Linked DNA regions of Oryctolagus cuniculus. The protein of the gene in region 1 interacts with the protein of each later gene in a biochemical or structural test. Links are inferred from orthologs where the notes say so. Each region holds a gene or a part of one and is shown on either strand. Other genes may lie near its edges.

Region 1 (4,524 bases):
CCTCTCAAAAAGAAAAAAAAAAATAAGATTTTCCAAAAACTTTGTTATGAGAAAAAGCTGCCAAAAATTATATTAAAAATGCAAATTCTCAGGCCCTACCGCAGACCTATGGAATCAGAAGCAGACAGGGCCCCCAGGGATCTGTGGTTTAAACACAGAACCACCTGCAGGTGGTTGAGTCCTGACTGCAAGACTCCCTGCTCTAGAGAATCTGAGTGGGGTAGGTCCTTGGAATCTGTTTTTAACAAGCTGTCCAAAGGGGGTAATGCGGAACCACAGTGGTTTTGAAAGTACTTTGAAAAGTGTGACTTTCCAGATGGTAAAACAGTATTTTCATTAGGAGGAAACAGGCTAAATAATAATAGCAAAGGTCACTAATTACGGAGCGCTTCCTTGTGCCTGAGTCACTACTTGCACGGCCTATTACTTCTCACAAACAACTGTGCAGGACTTGGGCGGAGGGATGGGAAGGCAGACTGCCCAGGTTCTTATCCGGTATGTGACTGTGAGGCCAGGTGACAACGGTCCTTCTCTCATTGATGTGTTGTGAGCAGGAAGGGAGCTGGGTGCTCACTCCTAGAGAACACCAACCACGCGGGCGCCTCACCACGCCCATCATCCCCAAGCCTCCCTGTTAAAGGCTGGAGGAGGAGGATTTGAGTCCACTCAGTGTCTGTTTTTAGGGACTAAGCTGGGGGCCACCTCTGCAGCGCAGTGGGTTAAGCCACTACTTGGGATGCCCACAGACATGCCATATAACAGTGCCTGGGATCCAGTCCCACCTCCGGCTCGCTCCCAATCCAGCTTCCTGCCAAAGCATCCCGGGAGGCAGGGGAGGATGACCCAGGTGCTTGGGTCTCTGCCACCCACGTGGGAGACACAGAGGGATTTCCAGGCTGCTGGCTTCGGCCCGGCCATTTAGGTGTAAACCAGCAGATGGAATCTCTCTGTCTCTCCCTCTCGCTGTCACTCTGCCTTTCAAATAAAAACAAAAAAAGAAATGCAAATGATCAGACTCTGTCCTAAATCTACTGAAATTCTGGGGGCGGGAGCTCAGCAGTGTAAGTTTTAAAAAGCCCCTCAGGCGATTCTATGCACACTGCAGTTTGGCAACTCCAGCTACAGTCTTCAGAGGTTCTGGTGGGCGGGGTGCTAAGAACAAAAAAGGAAAAAGAAAGCGGAGCTGGGAGCCACTGGAGTCCTCACCTGGGCTGGGAAGAACTCCACTTAGCAGCTCTCACCAGCCCCCAGCTCTCCCGGCCCGGCAGCTGGCTGGCGCGCAAGGCCTGCTGGGGCTTGTAGTCCGGGCCGCTCCCGAGTGGAGGCGCCTGCGCATTGGCCGCTAACTCGCTTTAGTCGCTGTGGTCGGGGCTCGGGACCGGCTGCCATCTTAGTCGAGGGACTGAGGAGTCGCCGCCGCCCCGAGTCCCGGTAAACACCCGCGGGCTGACTGGGGGCGGTTCTGGGAGGAGGGGGAAGCCTGGGTGAGAATGACCTGAGAGAACGAGGGGTCGAGGAGTGCGGCGCCCGAGCCAGGACCGCCCCAGCGGCTGCGGCTGCTCCTGCCCTCCTAGCCGGTGTTCGTGGGGGGCGCGGGGAGCACGGGCCAGTGGCCGGGGCCGGGCGAGGGCTCGGATCGGCCAGACACACCGCAGGGCCGGCGCCTGCCGAGTTGCCCCGACCCCCTCGTCTCGTGGGCTCTCAAGTTGTGAGCGGGATGGGCCGCGGCGGACGTGGGCAGGGTCCATCCCCGCGCCCCTCCGCCGCTCCCGGGGGCCACTCTCCCGAGGCCCGGCCTACGCGCGGGGCCGGGCGGCCGCGGGCTACGTGGCCCTGTGAGGGGCGGCGGCCAGGCCCACCTGCCTCTGGTCTGGCCCTCCCGGGACTTTGCCGAGCCTTTGGTCTCCAGGAGGGCCCAGCCCGGCGGCTGCCTCCTCTGGTCTCCTCCACTCCCCTCCTCCCTCCATTGTCCCCCCGCGTGGTGGTCCCGGGCCGGGCGCCCTCCCCGGCGCCCGCCGCCACCGCCGCCGCGGCGCCGACTTGTGCAGACGTGGAGCTGTCACTGCCCTTGGTCCGAAGAGTGCCCTTTTCTTTAGCAGAGAAGAAAGTAGCTGTGAATGTGTTCTAAGGGCCGAAACGTGAGGAAGACGAGACTTTGAAGCGGTGAACTCAAGTTTGGAGACTCCGTTCGGGCCGCGACTTTGGAGAAACGGGATTTGTGCTCCCGAGGTCATCGTCGGGCCTAAAGTTAGTCAGAGAAGTAACGAGGTGAACTTGCGAAGTATCCGAAATTCTCCTTTCCCCCAGAACAACTCAGCGGGTTTTGTGGTTATATTAGTATCCTAGTCTTGTTACATTTTCTGCCGTTCTAACACCGCTGTAGTATACTTGCTTTGGATGGGGGGTGGGGAAGGAAGAGTGGGGTTTTTCTTTGAAAATTATTGAGCCTTTTTTTGGAGCCAGCCTCCTGTGGTCGGACTTAGGTGGATCGCCCTGCATCTGTTCCTAATATAATTCGACTTTAAGGAAATAGGTAAAGGCAGTGTTATTTCCACCGGCAGAATCGGCGAAGGACTTGCTGCTTCTCTGAAAGTTATCATGGCAGATCTGGTGAGAGCCTGCACGGTGTATTGACATGTTTACTCAAGGTGCAATGACTTCATTTTTCGGATTTAAAAATGAAAGTGGAAATTCTGCTTTTTAGAACAGTGGGTATAAGTCCAAAAGGACTTCATCTTCAGCGTGCGGGTCAAGGCAGCAGTGATAATGTGAGAATGAAAAAAAAAAAAAGAGTGCACAGAACTTCACTGTAGTCCAAAGTAAATAATTTCTACAGTCTTTTAAAAAACACATCTTTACACCTATTGCAAGAGAAAGGCAAACCAGCGGTCTCCAAATATGACCATTAGGGTAATGTTTTTTTTAAAAGTAGACATCCAGCTTCTTCCGTCTGAGATTGATTTAATAGATCTGGGTTGGCTTCCGTTTGTTTTCAGAACATGCCTCAGGTGATTCTAATGGGCCTGGGAACTACTGAGGTAAACAGTATTGTGGACATACCAAGGACAGCTCAAGAAACTTTTGAGACTGAGAGACGAGGAAGTGGTTAGTTCTGACTAGGGGTTGGCCAGAGGAGGAATCTAGACCTGCCCTTAGACCTGTGTTGGATCTTAGGTGATGAGCAGTTACATGACAAAGGTGAGGAAGAGGGGTAGAGAGAGGGAACATCTCAACCCTATGTGATGGCTGGAAGAAGGGTTCCGGGAGCGGGCAGAGAGTGGGATAGGGAAGGAGAGCTTTATGAGATGTGAAGAATGAAAGGTAAAAAGAAGCAGCTATGTGAAATGTTCTAAATATAATGCTGGAAATTTTGAATTTTGTTGTCGCTGGAAACATGCTGATTCTTACACAGGGATGAGAGGTGAGCGCCTGCGTTTTAGAAAGATTGCTCTGATACCAGAGAAAGGTTGGAAGAGTGGCTGTTGCAGAAGTCTAGGTGAGAAGTGACAAAGCCTGATGTTGCGGGAGAGACAGCTGGGATGGGTAAGGGATTGGATTCAGCTTTTTACTAGTGTGGTTTGTTCCTGTATTTTTGGATGAGGATTTTGGCAGGGAAGCAAGTCTGTGTAACAGGCTGCTTTTCTCTCAAAGGAACCCATTAGTGAGTCTGAATAGCATTGCCAGGTTATTTACGTTACTAGTATTAGAGTGAATTACTCACAAGCATATAAGAAATTAGAACCATGTCAGGTGCGATTTAGAAGATAACTTGACTGAAATTGACTGTCAACACAGGTGATTCAGGCTTGTTGGAGGTGTTTTTTGACAGTCTACCGAAATTTAATACTCAATTTTTAGAGTTGGAGATATTATGTACTCGATTTTGGCAAATAAATTTTGGTTTATAGGCCAACTTGAATTGAAGTAGCTGTCAGAGGAATTGTGTTTAGAAGGATTCTGGTTGCGTGGATTCTCTGGAAATGTGTTATGTTTAACTAGTGTTGCCTCCAGCTGATGGTTACCTAGTGGGTTACAAGGAGTCTTCATTAAGTTTATGGAAAAGCTATGAATCGATTCAAAATATGTTGCACCAAAATTATCTTTCAATTTTATTTTTCACAGACTGTGTAGTACCCTTCTTTATATGTGCCACGTATTTTTTTTTTAAAGATTTATTTTTTTATTTGAAAGGCAGAGTTAAAGCGAGAGAGATCCTCCATCTGCTGGTTCACTCCCCAAAAGTCTACAATCACCTGAGCTGGGCCAGCCAGGAGCCTCATTCAGGTCTCCTACATGAGTGCTGGGACCCAAGCACTCTGCTGTTGCCTTCCCGGGCACACCAGCAGGGAGCTGGATGGGAAATGTTGTAGGCGGCATGTGGGTACAGGGGCCCAGACACTTGAGCCATCTTCCGCTACCTTCCCAGGCACGTTAGCAGGGAACTGAATAGGAAGTAGAACAGCTGAGACTCAAATCAATGGCCATGTATGACGCTGACATCACAGGCAGCATCTTAACCTGCTG
Region 2 (4,676 bases), on another chromosome or scaffold:
AGAGAGGTCTAAATGAACACTGTACATCGAGGCCAAACACACACAATCAGGCAGACACCCAGCGGGAAGAGGAAGAAACTTGAGCAACAGATCCAAAGTGATAGAAATCCTGAGACACGGAGCAGAACAGGTACCCACAGTCCAGGAAGAGAAACGCGGGCACAGAACCCCTCCGGTAGTCCCGGGTCCACCAGGGGAGTCCGCTCGCTGCCCTGGGCGCGCAGTCCAGGGTGTGTCCGGGAGCGGACCGAGGAGCCCCTGGCAGCGCCCGGACGCCCCCCGGTGGCGGCTCCCGAGAAGCCGGGACGGTTCAATCCGGGCCACAAACTTTTTTAGAACAAATCGTTGTGCAAGGCTGGGAGGAGAGAGGAAGTCGGACGTGGGCGAGGGGCGGGGTGTCTGGACTGGAACCTCCGGGCCCACGTGAGTGTCTGTCCCGCCGCGGAGTGGGTGCTGCGTGTCCGGGTGGCTGCAGTGGCACTGTCCGCTGGGTCGGTGCGGTGTGGGGCCGCCCGGCCGCGCGGAGCTTCGCGGGCACACCTGCGCTGCCGGTGTGCTGCACCTGATCCGACCCGAGCCTGGGGGTGTATCTGCGCGGCGCGCGCCTTTGTCTGCTCCGCTGGAGTGTGGCGGGTGTGGGCCTTGCGTGCCTCGGCTGTGTGTCTGACTCCGGGTTTGTCCGTTTGAGTTAGAGGCGACAGGTGGCGCGGCGTTAGACGCCGGGGAACTCGGGCGTCCGTGTTTATTAGCGGGAGGCCCGATCCGCGTCTCTGAGCCCGTCGGCCAGGTGCCCCGGACAGCCATGCAGAGGGTCGGGGAGGGGACAGCCGCTCAGTGCGGGGCTCTACCCGGAGAGGGGCGGCTCCACGGCCTCCGCGAGGCTGCGGTCGCGGACAGAGGCCCCGCGAGGCGAGCTGGCCAGGGGATGGACACGCGGTTTCCTTGACAACTTTTCTCTCGTCGCTGGCCTAGCCTCTAGTATCAAACCTGCAGGACTCGCCAAAGTTCCGTTTTTCATTAAAAAAGTAATAATAAAACAGCCGAGTTCCAGATTATGAATAATATATCTGTTTAATATCTACTCCATATGCCTCCCTCTACGGCGAAATTTGTGAGGCAAGCCTCTGAAAAACGGCCAATCCTGTTAGCTTTTCCTCAAGCGACCCATCTCTACCGGCCCTCAGTGAGATGAGACAATAAATGCAATTGGTGGACAGATTGTTTTGAAACCGCCCTAACGGCAAGGGGCGGGTCCTTCGTGAATTTTTCTCTTTCCGGTTTCTTAAAGGCAACAGGAAGGAGGGGTTTCTACCGACCCTCGTTTTGATTGGTTCTAGTGACTTTACCCGCTCGTACTCCTCAAGGGGCGGGAGATGTAGACAAATCAGAATGTGTGTTGCAAAGACACTTAGCTCGATGAAAGGACTTCGCAGGAAAGGCGGGGGGGGGGGGGCGCTCATTTTGAGAGCCCAAGGTTGATTGGACTAAATCGTTACTCCCCTTTTCTCATTCGACCTTACAGCAGCGGGCGCGCGGGCGCCATCCAATCAGCTGGCGCTCCGCCTTCTGCCTTTTCCCGCCCTCCGCTTGGGCCGCGTCTTCGACGTAGGCCAACGCTTCCTCCCTGGCTGCTCGTAGGCCCTCTCACTGTCGTTATTTTGAAAACTGTGCTCTAACTGGCTGAGTCTCCGGGCCCGCGCCCGTTGCCCCCGCGCGCTGGCCAATTGACACCCGTGTTGCATCGTACGGCGCACTGGGAGGGGGAGGTGGCGGCGGCGGCGGCCATTTTGAGCCGCCGCCGCCATTGGAGTAGCCCCCCCCCCTTTCCCCCTTCGCCTCCTGACAGGAGAGGTTTAAGGGGGACAGAGCCCTGGGAGGCCGGGCCGGGCTCGGGGGCCGCCCCGGGGGCCCGGGCCATGGATGTACGCCGTCTGAAGGTGAACGAACTTCGCGAGGAGCTGCAGCGCCGCGGCCTGGACACTCGCGGCCTTAAGGCCGAGCTTGCTGACCGGCTGCAGGCTGCGCTGGAGGCCGAGGAGCCCGACGACGAGCGGGAGCTCGAGGCCGACGACGAACCGGGGCGACCTGGGCACAACAACGAGGAGGTCGAGACCGAGGGGGGCTCCGAGCTGGAGGGGACCGCGCAGCCACCGCCGCCCGGGCTGCAGCCGCACCCGGAGCCCGGCGGCTACTCGGGGCCGGACGGACATTGTGAGAGTGCGCGGGGCGGGGGCCGGGGAGCCTGGAGTCTGGGCCAAGATAGGGCTGTGGGACGCGGGAGTCCGGCGCCCGAGGTCGGGGACTTGCTGTGAGGATCGGGGGGTCCTGCGATCGGCCGCCGCGAAGGATCTGGGGACCGGGGCCTCGGGACGGCCGGCGGGTGGATTCTGGCATTCGGCGCGGGGGAGAAGCTGGGGGTGGGCGCTGTCGGTGTCGGAAAAGAGGTGGGTCCAGGGAATGGGGAGGGTTCTGGACCTTAGGGCTCGGAGACCGGAAACCGTGGTTTTTGGAACCGAACGGAGTCGGAAGAAAAAGAGGTTTTCTATTTAGGGGCTTGGGGAGAGGCTTGGAAATGGTGATCCTGGGGTTTGCAGCAGGGTGGGCTGGGCGTTAGGAGCCGCGTTTCCAGCTTCGGGACGGAGAGGCCGGGGTCCTGGCCGGAGCGGCTGATAGGGTCCTGAGGTGGGTTGATGAGATGGAGGCACTGGTGTCTGTGCGGTGGACTGGGTGCTCTGGTGTTGGCCGGAGAGCCGTGAGGGGATGTGGGAGACCAGCTTGTTCCACGGGGGGACCCACCTCTCTTCCAGGCTGGGAGGCCAGCCGAGAGGCAGGCGCACCTTGGGCACTGGGTGCTGGGCGATCCGGGGACCTTGTGGTTGACTGCCAGAGGCGGCACCAGGAGCCTTGGTGTCCTGAAGCTCGTGGGGGCAGGAAAGATGCTTCCCTGGACAAAGGACCCGGGAGCCTGGGACTGGGCAAGCTCTCCGGGCCGGAACTCAGTGGCTGTGCTGAATGGTCCTGGTGAACGGGGCAGCCGGGATAGGACGGGCGCAGAGAGCAAGCTGGTAGTGCTTGAATTTGGTGAAGTAACCGAGGGACAGGGGATCCTTGTGTCCAGCACGGGAGTGTGTAGCTGTCTGGGAAGATGGGGGAGGGGGAGTGAGTGAGTAATGGAAGGAGAAGGCAAGCCTGTTGACTTGGTCCCCGGGGGCCTCGGGGTGTTGTTGGGGGGAGAGGTGGGGCTCAGCATCTCCCGGTGAGGGTTCCTTGGTCCCCAGAAGCAGTTACTTGCGTGCCCAGGGAGTATCTGCATCAGCCAATAGGAGTGAGTGTGGGAGTGGAGGGATTAGGGTAGGCCTGCAGCTGTTTGAGGAGCAGAGACCTGGCATGGCAGAGAGTGAGTCTGGAGTTAGCAGAGGGCGACTTTTTTTCAGCACTGGGACTGCAAAGATGGGAGGAAGAGAGGTTAAGGGGGAAGGACTGTGGTGTCCAGGGCTTCTGGGGGGTCTGTGGAAAGGGCACCCTGGGGCTGGGGGGAGAAGGTGAGAGGAGAAATGGGGCCATGGAGGAGACTTGGGGTTGGCACTGGGTCCTCGTTCACGAGAGATGTGGCAGCCTGCGTGTAAATTTGGAGTGGAGAACAGCCCAGTGACTGTCCAGGACCCAGGTGCTGGCAGCGTGCGTGGCGTGGCAGAGACCTGGGAAGGAAGAAGTGGCCCGGCGAGCTTGTCTGTAGAGTGGGAGCCCCCAGTGGGGCAGAGTTCCGGGAGAGCAGGGTGGTTGGATGCCTCGGCACGCAGCCTCTAGACTGTTTCAGGTTCGGCTCCGTGACTCGGGCAGGGTGCTTCATCTCCGTGCGTCTGGTTTCCTTGTGTGTAAAATGGGGTTACAGGGTTGTTAAGAATGAAGTCACGCGTGAAGGGCCTCTCCCCAGGTCCGCCTGCTGATGAGGAAAGCGGCGTTTAGGGGATGGAGAGGCACCCCAGCATCTTGGCTCCCTGGGCAGGCTGCTCCGGGCCCAGAGGGATGCTTAGAGAGGCTTGAGGCTCTGGGGCACACACTGCCTAGCGCCTGGAGGAAGCAGCTGGGCTGAGAGGACCTCACATCCCAGGGAAGATGACGTTCCCTCTCTTCCTCTCGCCCTGCCCTCTGCACCAGAGTCCTTTGAGTGCCCTCCACACCCCTGCGACCCTCCCTCAGCCTTGGTAAACAGACCTGTAAGGCACCACGTGACCTGAGACTTTTCTCCCTTTGGGCCGCACCAGGTTTGTGCCCAGATGTGTTTGTCCTCTGAGAAAGCATCCAGTCAGTCAACAAGTGGCAGGATAGGCTCTGCTTCCCCGTGGTTCTGCCTCACTGCTGCTGGCACAGCCGTGAGGAGGACTCGGGAGGCACCCAGCAGAGAGCGGCCCCTGGGGCCGAGAGCCGGTGAGCTGCTCGCTGGTGCTCACTCAGTCTCCAAAGCCCTCTCAGGTTTGCCTGCAAGGTTCTGCCCCTTGAGAGAGTGTCTGGGTTAGGGGGAAGGTCTGGTTTCAGTCCCACCTCTGAGCTTTCCTGTGCGGTATCCCAACCCCGGCAATATTCTCCATTCTCATCCCTGAATCTTCGTTCCTGTGACCTTGGAGCCAAACCTTGGCTGTTATTTCTCAGGTCCCTTTTCTTTTTTAGCTCCTGAT

What was found.
Region 2: the proteins of ITCH (region 1) and HNRNPUL1 form a complex in vitro, tested with the Homo sapiens proteins (2 studies listed by BioGRID and IntAct, with this or other methods). The link is inferred for Oryctolagus cuniculus from reciprocal best matches to the Homo sapiens genes ITCH and HNRNPUL1.

The regions. Positions count from the first base shown.
Region 1 is NC_091442.1:23,708,856-23,713,379, reverse strand, and holds the start of ITCH (E3 ubiquitin-protein ligase Itchy homolog), read left to right. Parts: upstream 1-1,299; 5' UTR 1,300-1,431; exon of another isoform or gene 1,432-2,012; intron 2,013-2,079; exon of another isoform or gene 2,080-2,268; intron 2,269-4,524. UniProt on the Homo sapiens protein: Acts as an Acts as an E3 ubiquitin-protein ligase which accepts ubiquitin from an E2 ubiquitin-conjugating enzyme in the form of a thioester and then directly transfers the ubiquitin to targeted substrates.
Region 2 is NC_091449.1:13,345,029-13,349,704, reverse strand, and holds the start of HNRNPUL1 (heterogeneous nuclear ribonucleoprotein U-like protein 1), read left to right. Parts: upstream 1-1,590; 5' UTR 1,591-1,916; coding exon 1,917-2,211; exon of another isoform or gene 2,212-2,444; intron 2,445-2,469; exon of another isoform or gene 2,470-2,682; intron 2,683-4,676.